Linked DNA regions of Ovis aries. The protein of the gene in region 1 purifies or fractionates together with the protein of each later gene. This does not show direct contact. Links are inferred from orthologs where the notes say so. Each region holds a gene or a part of one and is shown in the gene's direction. Other genes may lie near its edges. The genes, in order: LATS1, AMOT, CUL4A and SAV1.

Region 1 (4,100 bases):
AGTTGCTCATGTCAAAGCTGAGAGAGATATCCTGGCCGAAGCTGACAACGAATGGGTAGTTCGTCTTTATTATTCATTCCAAGACAAAGACAATTTATACTTTGTAATGGACTATATTCCTGGGGGTGATATGATGAGCCTATTAATTAGAATGGGCATCTTTCCAGAAAATCTGGCACGATTCTACATAGCAGAACTTACCTGTGCAGTCGAAAGTGTTCATAAAATGGGTTTTATTCATAGAGATATTAAACCTGATAACATTTTGATCGATCGTGATGGTCATATTAAATTGACTGACTTCGGTCTCTGCACTGGCTTCAGATGGACACATGACTCTAAGTACTACCAGAGTGGTGAGTAAAATCATAAAATTTGTATGTATTCATATGACTTATTAGTGTAATAAAATATAAGATGATATTATCCCTGGATGGGAGCCAGAAGTCCTGGGTCAGGTCTTAACTCCATTGGATAAATGTGAGTGAATCCTTTAGATACTTAGATTTATAAAATGAAAGTGTGTGTTAGAATTAATTATTTCTAAATGTCATTAACATTTTTTAATTAATCTCTTTACATTTTGTTAATGTGAAATGTGTCAGACAAATAACAATTTGAAAATAATTTTTAATTTTTTAATTGAAGGATAATTGCTTTACAGAATTTTGTGGTTTTCTGTCATATGACAGTTTGGAAATAATTTTTAAATGAAGCCCCCTACACACCACTCAACTTAAGAACTAGGTTATTACTATTTTTGAAGTCCCTAAACAATCACTTCGTTTTCTTTCCTCCATAGAGGTAACCTTTATTTCAAAACTCCATAATCAGTTCTTTACTTTTCTGTATAGTTTTATGCATATCCCTGAACAACATACTACTTCATTTTGCCTACCCTTGAACCTTTATTTAAATGTAATCATTTTACATGTATTCTTCTATGTTGACTTCCTTTATTTGTTTGAGGTTCATCTGTGTTCCTGCATATAAATAAATGATAACATTTATTTTCACAGCTCTTTAGGATTCCATTGTATGACTGTTATACAGCTTGTTTAAACACTTGATGTGCATGATTCTCTTTAATCCTCACAATGTCATTGTGAGGCAGAGTGAAGAACCTGAGGCTAAGTTAGAAATTTGCCCATGGTCGGACAGAAAATAAGTGTAAGGGCTAGGCTTTGAACCCAGGTTTGTCTGCTTACAGGGCCCATGTTATTTCTGCTATACCACACTGCCTCACCAAGATCCCTCCAAGCACTAATGGAAGTGTAAGTCAATCTAACATTTGTTGAATACTTACCATGACTAGGTGCTTTATATATATTCTAATTTAATGTTCACAGCAATCCTCTGAGGTAAGTATTATTGCCTCCAATGCTTCTTGTGAACACAAGTGGATTTACATTAAATAGATAGAACTTAAGATATCTGAAGCTACTTTAAAGTTCAGGTTGCTGCTGCTGCTAAGTCACTTCAGTCGTGTCCGACTCTGTGCGACCCCATAGACGGCAGCCCACCAGGCTCCCCTGACCCTGGCATTCTCCAGGCAAGAACACCAGAGTGGGCTGCCGTTTCCTTCTCCAATGCATAAAAGTGGAAAGTGAAAGTGAAGTCGCTCAGTCGTGTCCGACTCTTAGCGACCCCATGGACTGCAGCCTACCAGGCTCCTCCATGGGATTTTCTAGGCTAGAGTACTGGAGTGGGGTGCCATTGCTTTCTCCATAATTTAATATCTCCCCAGATTTACCTGAATCTTATCTGGGGCTTATCTTAAAAATATGATTCTTAGACTCTCTTCCAGTCTTCTGATTGAAAATCTCCACTGGAGGGTAGAAATTATTTTTTAATCAAACATCCCCGTTTATTACAGATAGGTTAATTTCAGATTTTTTTTTTCCCCTAGGTGATTTCATCCAGTCATAGCTTTAATTACTACCTCTGCATCAATGACTTCGAAATCTCTCTTCAGAAATGTCCTCTCCCTTTCACACGGATTCCTAATAGGCCTTTCAAACTTAAGACTGCTAATCAACGATTCTTAATTTCTCCCCCTCCCTATTTGTTCCCCCTCCTTTTTGGTAAATTGTACTACCACCACCCATCCTTGATTCTAAATGTGTTCACTTTTCTCCATCTGTACTATTATCATCATAGTCCAAACTTAACTGTAATAGCCTCTTACCTGGTCTCTTTTTCACCCTTGTCCTCCCTATACTCTATTCTCTATATAGCAGTTAAAAGTTTTCCTTTTTAAACATATATCAGACCTTTTCATCACTTCAAGAGAATGAAAAGGTCTGATACGTGTTTTAAAAGAAATGCCTTCATTTAATACTTCTGTATATATAAGTATATTCATATGTATAAATACACACACACACACACATATGTATTCCAGTATCTTCACTGTACTTGAAGTAAAAGGCAAACCGTTTCTTTTGCTTGTAAAACCCATGTGCGCTGTCTCCTGCTCCATTTCGTTCCATTCTCCCCTTTACTAACCACACTGGTCCTCTCAAGTACTGTTGTGTGTAGAATGCCTTGTCTGGTTTTCATATTGTTGAGTTCCTCTTTTTTTCTTTTTAAACAAATGCCACCTCAGCACATTTGCCCTATCACCGCATGTTGATTCTCTGTGCGGGACACATCACTGGTTCTCACATATGTATTTGTTATATTTTTCCCCTACAGATAACCTGCCTGAGAGAAGAATATTGTCTTCAATTGTTAATGTTGTCATTTGCTGAATAAATGAAACACAAATCTAATTTGTTTGAAACTTTGTCCAGAATAATTGGAGAGCAGCCTGAATAACAAATTATCGGTCCTGCCTACTCAATAACTTTTATTGTCATCATTTGTTGTTGAGTAAATTACTACATCTTAGACTAATTTTTCTTAGTGTAAGATTTATCCTTTGGTATTTCAAGAGTACAGTCTCTAGTTATTAATAAGTACAGCGTCAGTGATTTGGCATACATTGTGTCTTAGCTTGTCAACACGGGGAAGTGTTGTTAACTTTAGGATGTCTAAAGATTAAACAGATAGGTCTACTATTGTTGTTTTTATTTATGTATTTATTTATTTTACTATACAGGTGACCATCCACGGCAAGATAGCATGGATTTCAGTAATGAATGGGGTGACCCCTCTAACTGTCGATGTGGTGATAGACTGAAACCACTGGAGCGGAGAGCTGCACGCCAGCACCAGCGGTGTCTCGCACATTCTTTGGTTGGGACTCCTAATTATATTGCGCCTGAAGTCTTGTTACGAACAGGTAGACGTTTGTCCTATAAAGAATCTCAGTGTGCCTGTAGACCAGGAGAATATGGTTAATGGTTCAGGTTTACAATAAAAGTATTAATTCTATAGTATAAATTGGCGATTTAATATTAATTTTCATTGTATTCATTCTGAGCAGTTTTTTCAAAAGTGCTTATGAATAACCATAAATTTGGTGTCTAATTTTAGGCTATACACAGTTGTGTGATTGGTGGAGTGTTGGTGTCATTCTTTTTGAAATGTTGGTGGGACAGCCGCCTTTCTTGGCACAGACACCATTTGAAACACAAGTGAAGGTAAGGTGTAGAATCTGTACCAAAATAATTGTTATGAAGCCCCAATACCATACACCTTTATCAGTCCTTTATTTAGAGCATCTTAATTTACAATTAAAGAATGAGCTTGTAAGGATATAGGAACCCACTGAAATTCCACGTGTGCTCTCCCCCGTGGGATTTTACCACCCCCATATCCTTCCTCATGCATATACTACATTCACGGTTCTTCCTCTTACAAGTTTTTAGTACCTTTTGAAGATGTATTCCAGTTTATTCTTTCTACTGACTGCTGGCTTTGTTTCCTTGCACGTACATTCTGGCCCCAAACTACTAACAAATGTCTGTATCTCCCTAGCATTTAAATGAAAAGCTGCTCACAATGTTGATCATAAATTATCCCATTTAAGAAACCTTTTCGTGGCTTTGTCTATAAAGTCCCAGTCTTTCCTCTGTTCCTGTGTTCATACCATTCCCTCTGTACGGAATACCCTTCTTTCTCTCCCATGTTTCACAACTTTCCCTCCTTTGTGT
Region 2 (4,726 bases), on another chromosome or scaffold:
TGCAGAACTGTTTAAAAAAGAAATCTCACCTACCCTGGTTAGATTAAGTAGTAATTTATTATGTTAACTGCAGGGAGCCACTTTCATATTCACCCTGAAAACTGTAGGAAAAGAGCTGACTTTCAAAAAAATAAAGCCACAGGGAAATGATATATGTATAACTGTGGCTGATCTGCATTGTTGTATGGCAGAAACCAACAAAACACTGTAAAGCAATTTTGCCATTAAAAATAAATTTAAAAGAAGAAAAAAAAAAAGCCACAAAACCTACACACCTTGGCTATAAATGCTTAAAACATATGAGCTGAATATGATTCCCAAACACATGTGGAGAATCTCCACGTGTGACAGAAACAAGTAGGAACATATACACGTGTGGAGTGCCTTGTGATTTACAGTTTTCACATACAATTCGTTTTATTTTTCATATACCAGTGCCATTAGGTTAACAGGACATGTCTCATAGCCTTTATTTACAGATGGGAAAAATTAAGGAACTTAACCGAAGTCGTCGCACAACTAGCTACTGAGTGCTTGAGTCTGAAGGAGTTCTTCCTTTAGTTCCGAATTTCATCTTTCCTGCTATTTCTTTGTGCTTTCCTTTCCCGGCTTAAAATGGTTGATTTTCAGTGTCTCAGGAAGCTGTTCTCAACCAGGCTGTGTTTTTCAAGCAATACCAATTTTTTCGCAGCCGGGAAATGTGAACACCACATTGAGACTTCTCATACTTTTTTCCCCGCTTTGGGCCTAATGAATTAAGGGGGAAGAAAAGTTACCTATTCCCGGAGGGCCGGGAAGGTGTACCGGATCCAGCCGACACATTGTCGTACTCTCTTAGGAGACAGAAAAACCAAGCGTCTCATCTTTCTTTTCTCGGCAGTAGCTGCGAGAGAACCGAGAGCAAGACAATAGCCTCTTGTTTAGTTTTATTAATTTTGAGGGCGGGTGGGACCAAAGAATCCGAGCGACGACGCAAGTGACCAATCATAAGAGAACCTTGGGCCAGGATTCGCCAACCGGTAGCCGTCAAAGACTGGTGGGCGGGATTTATTCCTCTAGGCCGGCCCCGCCCAGACCGGCCTTCTCAGCCCGCCCAGGAGGCGGAGACTCGGCAGAGCACCGCCCACGACACCCCAGTTGCCAGCGCGGCCCGCCGCCGGGAGGGGGCGGGAACGCAGGGTGGCGCGGGGGAGGAAAGGGGTGGCTAGGGGGAGTGGAGGAAGAAAGGAGGGTGTCTCGCGGAGCTGTGACCTGGGTGGGGGCCTCCTGGTCATAGGAAGCAAGAGGGGAAGGAAAACGAAGGACCGCTGCTCCTTCCTGAATTATTTTAAGCAAGCTTCTCGAGAAGCTGCTTTTCAGCATTTCTGTTATTTGTTTTTCTTCCTCCCGCTATGGGGCGGGGAGTGGCACTAGCTCTCCCACGCGACTCCGCTCCGCTGTTGCCGCACACTATTTTTGGAGTCTTTGCACAAGTCTTTCCTTCCTCCCAGCCAGTCTTTGCGTAGACTCGGGGCTACTATAACCGAATCGTGCCACGTTCGTGGGCTACCAGAGCAAGCGTCCCCGCTTTCGTCGGAGCTATCGGACCCGGGCGTTCAATTGTTTGAACTTCCCCGCCCCCTAGCTCCGCCCCTCTTCCGCCCCCCCACCCCCAGCCCGGGGTCCTGGCCGACTCCCCCCCTTCTTTCCCCGCCCTCTTCTCCGCCCCACTGCCTAGTCCACCCAGCTCCCCGCCCACCCCCACCGCCCCGGCTTCTGGGCGGTCCTAGCCGCTCACCGCAAGAAGAAAAGCCACCCGTTCTCCCCCTCCCCTAGCTCCTAGCTCCTTTGCCCAGGAGCTGCCTTCATCGCAGTCACGCCCCTTCCTTCTGAGGAGCTTTCTAGCTGCCTAAGCTGGTAGACCTCCTGATTTATTCCTCCATCTCCGCTCCCTTTCGCCTCATCTTCTCTTAGTTCTCAGCGCCCCCTCCACCCCCACCTCCAGTCTGTCTCGCCTCCGACCATCCGCTGCTCCACCCGCCGGCCCGGTATCCTGCCTGTCCAGTGCCACCAAGGAGAGACCGGACGGAGCGGTGAGGAGGGGAGCAGCCGGGAGCTGGGGCTTCCCTCCTGCCTACCCCTGGCCTCTGGCCCGGGACCGAAGCCACTTGAGCGAGCAGAGTCGTCACCTTGTCTTCGTTTCCTTCAGGGGTAGGAGACGCGTGGTTACTTTTCGCGGGGAAATGGGGCAGGAATCCGTGGTGGCGTGAACTTGATCATAACCTCTGCGTGAGTGAGTCGATCTAGATTTGCGTGGGGATGCCTGTGTTCTACTTTCTTTGCAGCTGGCCACAAGTTTTCCGGGATGTGCAGTAAGTTAAATAGGTTAAAGAGTGTGCGCTCCTTTTCCCGTCCTACGGAGATGCGAATGGGTACCACTATTTGATGGCACTTTTACTTTCTTGCCTTCTGGGGTCCTTGTAGGTCTCTAGGTAATTAAACACAAAAGGAACTAAAGAGCAGAGGGAACTTGAAGTCTACGTTTAGATCATCTGGAATGTCTGGGTTTATCTCAGATTGTTAGATGCATTTTTCCTAAATGCTTGGGGTTGGGGTGGGAGCTCACACTCCTCTTCCCCGGGGCTGTGAATTCTTGAAATCTTAGCCTGGAGGAGTAATCTACAGTGCTATACTCTTTTAGGTATAAGGTGTGTGTGTGGTCATGAAGAAAGGGTTGCCCCTTATTTGCGTTATGGATATTAGTAATTAGTTTTGCCTGATATGCAGGTATCTTGAGGGTCCCAAGGCTGGGTCGCTGTACACAGATGCTTCAGGATCAGAACAGCTTTATCAGGGTAAGCCAATGAAGAGAAGAAAAGTGAGAGACAAAGTGACAGTCTCTGTAGACTGAGCAATCCCTGGTTAATTGCTGCTAGTAATAATTTAATAGTAATTTGCAGTAAAGGACTACATACGATTAAATGAGAGAGGAAAGGACAGTTTGTGAGAAATGGCATTTCCAATCTCTAACATGTATTTTAGAAGGGATTTTCTGACACCTTGGAGTATCTGATTTAGTTTTCCTTCCTCTTCGCTGTCCTCCCCCACCCCCATGAAGAGTGGAAATTGGGAGGCAGATTAAAGCTTTAAAAAATATAACCCTCTTCTCCCATTCAGAAAGGAAGATAATTAGTCACCATAATCTTCCCTAATGTGGGGCTAAGGGTATTTAAGTCTCCTTGAACTAGGCTTTGTGAAAAGTCCTTTCTCAGAACAGCCTTTGTGAAGCTTTCTGAGTTAGACCTTTCAGCACCCTCATTTAGTAGCTAAGAACAGTTTGAAATACCATTTTGGATGCTAGATAAATCTTCACCCATCTCCCACCTAACCTCCAATCTAGCAAACATGGCAAACTTACAAGAATGGTGGTGTTCAAAGACCAATTACCAAGATGTCTGCAACACATTGCTTATTGGGGAATAAATTATTTTCTTATATTTTTACCTGATTTAATTAGTTGATTTCAATGGGGGAAAAGAAAGCAGGAAGGAGGGAAGGAATGCTACAGGGTGACAATTTTAAAGGCTATCATATTTCAGATCAACTGAGAAGGAAAAGTTGGCCTGACGAAACTACATTTTGTAACTGGCCTGGGACATTTTAATAGCCAGGTGGTTGTAGAGTACTTGCATCTATTTACAGATGATAACTCAGGTTCCAGCTATTCTGTATGGGTTTATCCAGTGTCATTTACAGACACTTTCTGGCACTACATCATACTTCATTTTAAGATACTTCTTTCTTTGGAAAAGTCTGTGGCTCCGTAAAATTGAAAGCACTTTTTCTTACTTCATGGTCTAGATATGAAGTAAATCTCTAACCATGCTTATATGTAAAATAACTTTTGCTTGAAAGATCTGTTCACCTATGTAAAAGATTTTAGGGAATTTAAAAATTCACATTCAATACTGTTTTGGATTTGGAAATTGAAATCTCATTTCTGGTTTATGAAGTAGGATTTATTAGACTAATGCATTACCAAGGTGTTTTGTGGAGTTGCTTTTTATGAAGTTTTGTAAAGACCGAATCAGTCTCTTTCTAGAATGCCTTAGGAACAGTCTATTCAGAAAGCAGAGGGATGGATGCTATGACCTTGAGGTTCCGTTGAGTGCCAGAATTCTAAGTGGGTACATCTGCTTCTGTGCCTCTCCTAAGAGCCCTCTCCCAGGGCCTGTGCCTTCTTTAAAAGGGTGTCTTTGTAATTAAGCAGCCCTTCTCCCCCATCCCCCTTCTCGTCCTTTGATCAGCTTTTTTAAGGCCTTTTTTCCATTTTGGGGACAAGAGTTGTTTCTCACCCTCTCCTACTCCTTTCTTAAGGTTTCTTTTCCTTTCTCCCCACCAAAGTGCCCCAAAGTTCCCAGGATGGCTAGAAATTGTTTTGTTTTGTTGGGGTGGGGGTGTTACCAATGAGGAAGTGTTGATGATATAGTCCCTCTTGAGAAATGTTTGTGACCAGGTAGCCTCTTCCATGGAGACTGAGCATTTGGAATGCATGAGAACAGTTTATTCTTAGGGTCTGTCTGGAAGAAATTGTCCTTTGCACCCATTAAGCCCAGCTTAAACCTACTGAAAGGAGTGGAGAGAGGTGTGTGTGGTCGTAGCTGAGCCTTTTAGGATGGTAAATGGGTAAATGTTCCAAATCTCCTATTACATCACCTCTTTCCCTCATGGATTCAGGGGGTTTGGA
Region 3 (4,100 bases), on another chromosome or scaffold:
GGTTAAGAGGATTAATTTCTGTTTGAGGGATTTATAAGTAAAAGTTCTTCCAGAAGCAGAATTGTAACCCTACAGGTTAGTTGCGTGCCCACTCAGTTTTTAGAACGTGGACTAAATCTGTGAAGCTTCTGGAGGGACTCAGCACCTAGTACTGGGAGTGATTAAGCTGTTCAGCCATCACGGTCGCTTGGTAGCGGGAGAGGAACTGCGGCGTTGGAGCCCTGTGGCTGAGCTGGTGTGTTTTGCAGACTTTTGGGACAACGATCGTCATCAATCCAGAGAAAGACAAAGACATGGTTCAGGACCTGCTGGACTTCAAGGACCGAGTGGACCACGTGATCGACGTGTGCTTCCAGCGGAGCGAGAAGTTCATCAACCTGATGAAAGAGTCCTTCGAGACATTCATCAACAAGCGGCCCAACAAGCCCGCGGAGCTGATCGGTAGGGAGCAGGCTCGCGCACAGGCTTCCCCTGGAGCACGCGCCGCACGGGGAGGGTGGGCGGGCCTGAGAGGGCCGCCTTTCCGGAAGCCACAGACACCAGCGTGCGCTTCTGTGTGCTGAATCCATATGTGAGCACGTGATGTTTCCATTGGGAGCGTGTGGTGATGGTTTTGTGACAAGATGGAGCCTGACGTCTCAGGAGCAGGATGAGACCAGCAGATTTCTCCTCGCCTGCACGGCCCCGGCCCCAGAGCTCTTCCTGCCCAGAAGCTGGCCTGGGTTTGTCGTGTAGGAATGTTAGGAGGGTGACTGTTGGCCTCTCGACAGCGCCTGACAGGAGATGGCTGTTCAGGCTCGACCTTGTATCCCCCAGTCAGTGTTAAATGTGGTGCGATTGATTGGCACTCTTTCAAATGATCCCTTTGTATACTTATTTCCTGATAACATCAAAATATACCAGGATTCATGGAGTCTCATCAGTGAGGCAGTTTTTTTGGAATTGTCCAGAGGCAGTGGGCAGGGAGGTGTGAGGCCGTGGCATAGGGCTGAGCTCCGGTGTGGGCTGGTGAAGGCGCCTGGTGGGAAAGTGGAGGTTACAAGTGCGTACATTTGTGGCGCTCAGAATCAAGACAATGAGGGGAGGGGCTAAGACGAGCCAGCGGAAGGAGACGTTCAAATGCACCTGTTTGATTTGGCCTTTGTGCCACTTTATAGACTGTGGTTTCTCTAAAGACACATTCGGACTCTGGGGAGCTCGGGTTCTCCCTTCCTTTGGGCAGGTCGAGGCAGCCTGTGCGTCTCGAAAGCAGGAGGGCAGGCGGACCCACTCTGTGCCTGAGGGGTCAGCCCTGAGGGGAGTGCTCCCGCGTAAGGAAGCCTTGCCCGCACGTCTCCGCAAATCCTGCTGGCGGGCTGCTCCGGCTTCTGGAGCGGTCGTGTGCCAGGAAGCTCCAGTGTGGGACCGCGGGGTGTGTTCTCCGAGCCTGGAAAGCACAGATCTTAGAACATCAGGTGTTTGCCTTTTTGTTACAAAATAACATGTCAGTTTGGGAAGGTTCCAAGTGTTTTTTCTTGGAGAAATTAAAGACCTTCCTTTTTGTATTTAGAATATGTATCGTATTGTGGAGTGAATGCTTATTTTTCAAATGATATCCTCTCCTACAGCAAAGCACGTAGACTCAAAGCTCAGAGCAGGGAACAAGGAGGCGACAGACGAGGAGCTGGAGAGGATGCTGGACAAAGTCATGATCCTGTTCCGGTTCATCCACGGTGAGCTGGGCCCCCAGCGCGTCCGCGGCATGGGACCGCGGTGGCAGCCGCTGTGCGCGCAGCAAGGGGGTTTGTGGGGATTCAGCGGGAAGAGCTGGCTGGCACACGCGCGTGGTCGCCTCTTGGGCCGAGTCAGAAGCTGAGGTGAACATTTTGACGGCAACTGTTAAATGTCTCACATGGTTCTTGCTTATAAATAGGTAAAGACGTGTTTGAAGCTTTTTACAAAAAAGATCTAGCAAAAAGACTCCTGGTTGGAAAAAGTGCCTCCGTCGACGCTGAGAAATCCATGCTGTCGAAGCTGAAGCACGGTAAGCGCCGGGGGTGGGGGTGAGCGCCCCACTCAGGGCCTTCCTGATGCTCACCCGCCGTCCGCTTTGTGCAGAGTGCGGGGCCGCATTCACCAGCAAGCTGGAGGGCATGTTCAAGGACATGGAGCTCTCCAAGGACATCATGGTTCATTTCAAGCAGGCAAGTTGTGTTCAAGTGAAACAGCTCTTTTAAAAACACGCTATTTCAGATTCTGTGAAATGATTTTGCATGTAAGTATGTGACCTGTGTAAAATCCTCGTCTTTAAAAATCACGCTGTTGATGCTCCACGTACTCAGAACACTTCAAAATGAAAAAGAAACATAACCCCCCGGGATTCCCTGTTGGTGCAGTGGTTAGGACCCCAGGTTTCCACTACCGAGGGCCTAGATTCAGTCCTCAGTCTGGGAACTAGGGTTCTGCCGGTTGTGTGGCGCAGTTGGAAAACAAGAAAAGAAAACTAATTCCTAAAAGTGCACTTGGAACTCTGGCTTAAATGAGCTTAATGGCCCGTATCTGGGGCAGAAGTGAAGAGAGACGTTCCCAGTGGCGTTTGACCAGGGCGTGTGGCCTCAGTGGGCTATGTTCCAGGGGCTCGAACAAATGAAACGCAAGGTGAGCTGTAGCTGGGAAATGGGGTCATCGGTTTCTGGAGGTCAGTTCTGGGCGCTGCTCTAAAGTGGCCGTCTGTCCCGGCTTCCTGTCTGTGCAGTACATGCAGAACCAGAGTGACCCGGGCTCCATAGACCTGACCGTGAACATCCTGACCATGGGCTACTGGCCGACGTACACGCCCGTGGAGGTGCACCTGACTCCAGAGGTGAGCGCGCTCGGGAGCCAGACCCTGCTGCCACGCGCTCCTGCTCCAGGCCCCACGCACCGCAGGGAGCGTGGCAGCCACGCTCGCTGAGCCCTGACCATCCGCGTCTTCTCGGAGCAGCGTTCACAGCGGGCGCTCCTGGTCTGTCTCTGCCGGCTGCCTGTCACGGAGGCGCTGGTTTAAAAAGCTCCTGTGTGGGAGCCTCGAGCTTCCTTGGCTGGCTGATGCTCCCACCCGACATACCAGAGCCAGGGCCTGAGAGGGCAGGGACGGCGTTGTGTGGCTGAGACGGGCCCTGTGAGGGGGATGGGGTGTGCCTGCCGGCGTGGGCCCAGGGCCTCCGGGGCGACAGCTAGGCCCAGGGCCTGGCACCCGGGCAGATGTGCTGCTGCCCGGACCCACCCTTCCTGTTCGCAGGGCAGAGTCTCCTGGAGTCCCCCGTTTCTGGCCCCAGGCAGTCTCTGTCGCGTCCTCTCCTCCTTTTCCTCTTGCCTGTACCCCGAACGCACATGTTCCCTGGAAGCCCCAGCTCCGTCCCTCTCAGCCTCCAGCCTGTGTCTCCAATCCCCCCCACCCCGGGTCTGTCACGGCTGTCCCAGACTCAGCGCCCCTTCCCACATCTCCCCACGCGATGGGACGGCTCTGCACCCCTCCCCACACTCTGCCTGGCGCGCTCACGCTCCCAGGGCGGGTGTGACCGTGCAAGCTGACACTCTTTCCTGGAAAACCTCCACGCCCCGTCTGTGCCTGCTGGTTGACACTCGTCTCCCCCCTCCCCCTGGGGTGTGCGTGCACACGCGTGCCGGCGCTGCAGGACTGGCCGGGCGTGGAGGGATGGCAGGAACAGGCCAGAGTCCCAGGGCCTTCCCTGGGAGAGGAGGAGTGCAGCGAGGGTCGTCCCAGCTTGCGCAGCCGGGCAAGAGCACGGGCTCTGACCAGGCGGACCACCGGCGCTCCTGGGCTCAGAGGCTGCAGGGGGCCGAGGAAGCCTGCGGGGCTCGGGAGCGGGGGCAGCGAGGGTCGTCCCAGCTTGCGCAGCCGGGCAAGAGCACGGGCTCTGACCAGGCGGACCACCGGCGCTCCTGGGCTCAGAGGCTGCAGGGGGCCGAGGAAGCCTGCGGGGCTCGGGAGCGGGGGCAGGCCCCACCGCCCCTGGCAGGAGCTGTTGGAATGGTGGCAGCACGGGGCTGCGCGCTGGTGGGCCGCCGTCAGGACACGGAGCAGGCCGCATTCGGCCCAGCGGTGGCTTAGGAACTCG
Region 4 (4,635 bases), on another chromosome or scaffold:
GAGTCCGACATGACTGAGCAACTTCATTTTTTCTCTATAGTTCCTTTTGGAGTAGGAAGCGGCAACCCACTCCAGTGTTCTTGCCTGGAGAATCCCATGGACAGAGGGGCCTGGTGGGCTACAGTCTATGGGGTTGCAAAGAGTCAGACATGACTAAGCAACTAACACACACACACAATCTTGTGTAAGTAGAAAATTCCTTGCCTTTTGTTAGTTGTTTACATCTCTTGTAAGATGGTTCCTATCTTAGGGAAAGAAAGCACTTTCCATTGTCAAAGCCTCAATTTGGTCACTAGAGGTGGATCCCATCTTATTTCTCAAATGTTATCCTGATCATTTTGCACCTTTGCTAAGTTAAATAGAAGAAAGCAGGGTTTCTTTTAGATTAAAAATCCCAGGTCTTGACCTTTAGTGCTCAAAATTCTCAAAAACAAAAACAGAAAGAAATCTAAAATAGGAGTATTTAACTCTATGAAAGAAATTTTCACATACTGAGGTCTGAAGAAGTCACTCTGGATTGCACACAAGTTTTTACCTTAGCTAAAATGCCCTGTTTGTGGATTATCCAACACATAGTGTACATCTGCTTTATTAACAGGCTCATTAACTTAGAAGTAATCTGGTGACTGGGCAACTAACACTTAACAAGGCTGTCCATGATAAAGACAAAAATTCAATGTCTCCCTTCCTGGGATGCCAATGCTTTTACTGCTTCAGGGATGACTCCCTTTCCACGTACCAAGGCAATAATAACTTCGTGTGTTCCAAACTGATTTTTTTTTTTTGAAACCTTGAAGGAATATATTCCTGACTTATTGAATGTTTTGTTCTGACAAAACTATGCTGAAAACCATGCTTCCCCTCAGGATGTCCTCAGAGTTACCTGAGAAGCTGTCTTCTGGACTTGTATTTCCCAGTTCGGCTCAAATAAAACTCTTTTGTATTCCCATGAGAGGTTATTTTTTTTCCATTGACAACTCCATATTTCCAAGAGGAAATATATGGTGGATAATGATAGTGATAAATAAATCACGCTAATATCAAATTTATCTTGCATCACAGATAACAGAAACACCACTTCGGCTTCTTCCTCCGTGTTTTCCTTTATCAGAAAGACGCACACTCCCTGGCACTAACGGGGTGTTTTCAACAAAAAGATCTAGATTTCTTTGGCTGCAGCATTAGCGTAAGGGTGGCGTTCCTTCGACTCTACAGGCGTTCTGTGCTATTACGGGCTTGAATTTACCAGCCCCCAAAACTCCAAGAGGGACGTCCTCTTTCGTGGCCGAGGACGCGAATGCATCTTGGGGGCATTACCAGCTCCCTCAAGGTCCTGAGAGAAAAATCTGCGGGTAGAGGAGGTTCCTCTGCAGGAGCGCGCCACGGCCTCCTGCGCTCAGTCTGGCACGTTTCGTCCAAAGTGCCCACCAGACCTGCTCCTCGCCGAGCGGGAGTGAAAGCAGCCGCTCCTCCTCCTGAAGACGCTGGGACGACCCGTTAGCTGAGAGGGCGGCCCCGCGTCCTCTGGCCCGAGCCACGCCCAGGAGCGGGTGGGGGAGGGGCGGCGGCGCTCGCGCTGCGTCGAGTTTCCCAGAATTCCCAGCGGCCGCAGGGAAAGTTTACGGGACGTAGGCGGCGACAGCGGCGGCAGCAGTAGCGGTTACTAGGTGGTCAGCAGCGGACCATGGCCCTGGCCGGGCGTTCCTGGCTCTTCTCTCGGAGTCCTCGGGCAACGACGCGGAGCCGGCAGACTTCCGGGAAGGAACTGACAAGCGACTGAGCGGTGACCGGCGCGCTTAGCGCCCCGAACATGCGGCAGTCCTTGTGGGCAACCCCGGGCTGCGGAGAGGCGGCGGCGGCGGCGGCGGCTCGGGAGGGAAGGAGGCGGCGACGCCGGCGGAGGTGGCGGCGGGGACACCCGGCGCCCGGCGCGGAGCCTTAGGGCGGCTGCTTGGCGTGGCCTGGGGCCTCGTGGTCAAGGATGCTGTCCCGGAAGAAAACCAAAAACGAAGTGTCCAAGCCGGCCGAGGTGCAGGGGAAGTACGTGAAGAAGGAGACGTCGCCTCTGCTGCGGAGTGAGTGTCGGGCGGGGTGCGCCCACACCTGGCCTGGGCGGCCGCGGGGGACCCGGGCTGGGTGTCCGACGCCGCTCCCCGCGGCTTCTCTTTCCTTTTGGCCTCTGTGATTTTTTTTTTTTTTTAATGCCTGGAGTGATGTTCGTTGTTTGAAAGCTGATAAAGAGTAAAAAACTTAAGTTAGTCCACCTCTGTTCCCACCCCCCGCCCCCTGTCCCGCCCGTCAAAATCCACAGACTTCCCTTCTTGAAACTATGTTGTTGGTTTTGATTACTGGAAGAAAGATATTCTTTAGGAAACAAATTGCTCATCCGCTGGTTCTGTAGGAATTAAAGGGATTACACTGGGGCACGTTTTCCTCTTGTGACGTCTAGATTTGCATTGTGTTTGCAAACACTGTGGGTGTCACTTGCTCTGCTCGTAGTTGTGCGAACGCTTGAGTAGAATTCTTAGTCCAGCTATTGGATGATGACGTCCGGAGGTGAAAGCTGACCGTCGCTATTGTAGCTGCTGCCCAAAAAGCCTCCTCAGTTGTAGATCTCAGGGTTGAAGAGCCAAAATTATATGTGTTTGGCTGTGTTCATGAGAATTTCTTCAAATAAAACCTCCTAGAAATCCGCCAAAGACTCAAAATAATTTCCATCATACTTTGGGGAAAATTACGAAAAAAGTTGTGTGTGTGGTTATAAACATTTTTTAATAGAGTGCATTTCGCTGGCACTTTATCTTCAATTTAAGTATTTGACTCTAATTTTCCTCCTGAATCTTTTACGTTTTTAATTCTTGCTTATGTGTTCAGAACATTTGTGAGGTAAGGAGCAAGTTTTTTGGTGTTCATACTAAATGCTGGGTCCTTTGTTAAGTTTCCTTCTTGGAAGCTGGTGACTTTGTGACTTAAGCATTACCTCATATTGTAATTGGGAAAGCTTTTCATAGAGGTTCCTGGTAATATTTGCCCAAGATCACACAAAAAGGGGTGGAGAGCATGTTTTCCCATTATAACCACATCATCAACCTTCCAGATTTATCCTTGTATTTGCAATGCTTTCTTACAGAACAGATCAGATGGGTACATCAGTAACCTGAAACTTGATTTTTAAAAACTTTTTTTAATAGTTTATTTTTCATTTACATATTCTCTTAGGATTTTGGCCAAGTTTAGGTTAGCTTGCAGTTAGCTTCAGATAACAGTGTTATTCAACATTCCTTAAAATCATGAAATATGTTTGCCACACCTTTTAGCAAATAACTTTTGATATATAGTATTTTGTTTTAGTTTCATCAAATGTTGAACCTTGTTTATTCGGTTACTAATTTTTGTGTGTTTGGCTTCTGTTGCATATTAATATGCGTGCCCTCTGATACTGTCTACTTAGTGAACTAATAAAATGGTCTCCAGATCCAGTTTTCTTCTTGTTTTAAAGGTGTTTGCTTTCTAACCAGGAATGCTTAAGGTATTTATTTAAGTTTTATATTCAGAAGTACTGTACCCTTAAAGCCATTGCCCTGTTTTCTTCTGTTTTGAATTGTAATTGTTCTTAATTGTTTTGAATTGTAATGGTTTTAGACTTGGCGTTTTTTGTTTGTTTGTTTGTTTTTGAACTGATTCAACATTTGTGTGTCTCTTTGAAATGAGATTTAAAAAAAATTTTAATTTTCATAGCTTAATTTTTAGTTTTTCCATCTTTTGAGTATTGTACTATTGCTACGTAATTCCAAGAGTAGGAATGCCAGGTTAATAATTTTTAAATTTTTTTTTAAGGAATTCGCCTTTACATGTTTGAGAATAGCATTATGATCTGTTTCATTTTTTAAATTGTGTTTTACTTAAAGAAGAGTTTGGGAATGAAGTACAATCTGCAAAACAAACTAATGTTAAATTATGCTGGTAACTGTATTCATTTGTTAGATTGTTTACTATTTTTATACATTTATTCATGAGCATTAATACATATTTTGTAGTTAAACTTACTGATGTTTCATTATATTATGTTTGGTAGTATGCAGAATATGTTTGAATCTGGTAGAGCATACTTATAACACATTCATACAAATTATAAATTCATTTGAGTGGGAATATGGCAATCAGCCTCAATTTAAAATACCCAGATACTTTGCTAAAGTTTCTGATTGTGTTTTCTTAAGTCCATTGAAATTTTTCATTTTGGGGTAAGATGTAAATAAACAACTTTGGAAAAGCATATTACTTACTAGTCATTTTATTCTTTTGTTTTATTATAGATCTTATGCCTTCTTTTATCCGGCACGGTCCAACAATTCCAAGACGAACTGATATCTGTCTTCCAGATTCAAGCGCTAATGCCTTTTCAGCTTCTGGAGATGGAATAGTTTCAAGAAACCATAGTTTCCTTAGAACTCCAATTCAAAGAACACCTCATGAAATGATGAGAAGAGAAAGCAACAGATTATCTGCACCTTCTTACCTTGCGAGGAGTCTAGCAGATGTCCCTAGGGAATATGGCTCTTCTCAGTCATTTTTAACAGAAGTTAACTTTGCTCCCGAAAATGGAGACTCTGGTTCCCGATATTATTATTCAGA

Evidence for each region.
Region 2: the proteins of LATS1 (region 1) and AMOT purify together in Homo sapiens (affinity purification with western blotting; 3 studies listed by BioGRID and IntAct, with this or other methods). This does not show direct contact. The link is inferred for Ovis aries from reciprocal best matches to the Homo sapiens genes LATS1 and AMOT.
Region 3: the proteins of LATS1 (region 1) and CUL4A purify together in Homo sapiens (affinity purification with western blotting; 3 studies listed by BioGRID). This does not show direct contact. The link is inferred for Ovis aries from reciprocal best matches to the Homo sapiens genes LATS1 and CUL4A.
Region 4: the proteins of LATS1 (region 1) and SAV1 purify together in Homo sapiens (affinity purification with western blotting; 3 studies listed by BioGRID). This does not show direct contact. The link is inferred for Ovis aries from reciprocal best matches to the Homo sapiens genes LATS1 and SAV1.

What each region holds. Positions count from the first base shown.
Region 1 is NC_056061.1:73,960,677-73,964,776, reverse strand, and holds part of LATS1 (serine/threonine-protein kinase LATS1), read left to right. Parts: coding exon 1-356; intron 357-3,103; coding exon 3,104-3,286; intron 3,287-3,480; coding exon 3,481-3,587; intron 3,588-4,100. UniProt on the Homo sapiens protein: Negative regulator of YAP1 in the Hippo signaling pathway that plays a pivotal role in organ size control and tumor suppression by restricting proliferation and promoting apoptosis.
Region 2 is NC_056080.1:121,831,865-121,836,590, forward strand, and holds the start of AMOT (angiomotin), read left to right. Parts: upstream 1-1,813; 5' UTR 1,814-4,726.
Region 3 is NC_056063.1:85,900,255-85,904,354, forward strand, and holds part of CUL4A (cullin-4A), read left to right. Parts: intron 1-248; coding exon 249-441; intron 442-1,607; coding exon 1,608-1,712; intron 1,713-1,912; coding exon 1,913-2,023; intron 2,024-2,097; coding exon 2,098-2,183; intron 2,184-2,734; coding exon 2,735-2,842; intron 2,843-4,100. UniProt on the Homo sapiens protein: Core component of multiple cullin-RING-based E3 ubiquitin-protein ligase complexes which mediate the ubiquitination of target proteins. As a scaffold protein may contribute to catalysis through positioning of the substrate and the ubiquitin-conjugating enzyme.
Region 4 is NC_056060.1:41,781,085-41,785,719, reverse strand, and holds the start of SAV1 (protein salvador homolog 1), read left to right. Parts: upstream 1-1,621; 5' UTR 1,622-1,981; coding exon 1,982-2,075; intron 2,076-4,316; coding exon 4,317-4,635. UniProt on the Homo sapiens protein: Regulator of STK3/MST2 and STK4/MST1 in the Hippo signaling pathway which plays a pivotal role in organ size control and tumor suppression by restricting proliferation and promoting apoptosis.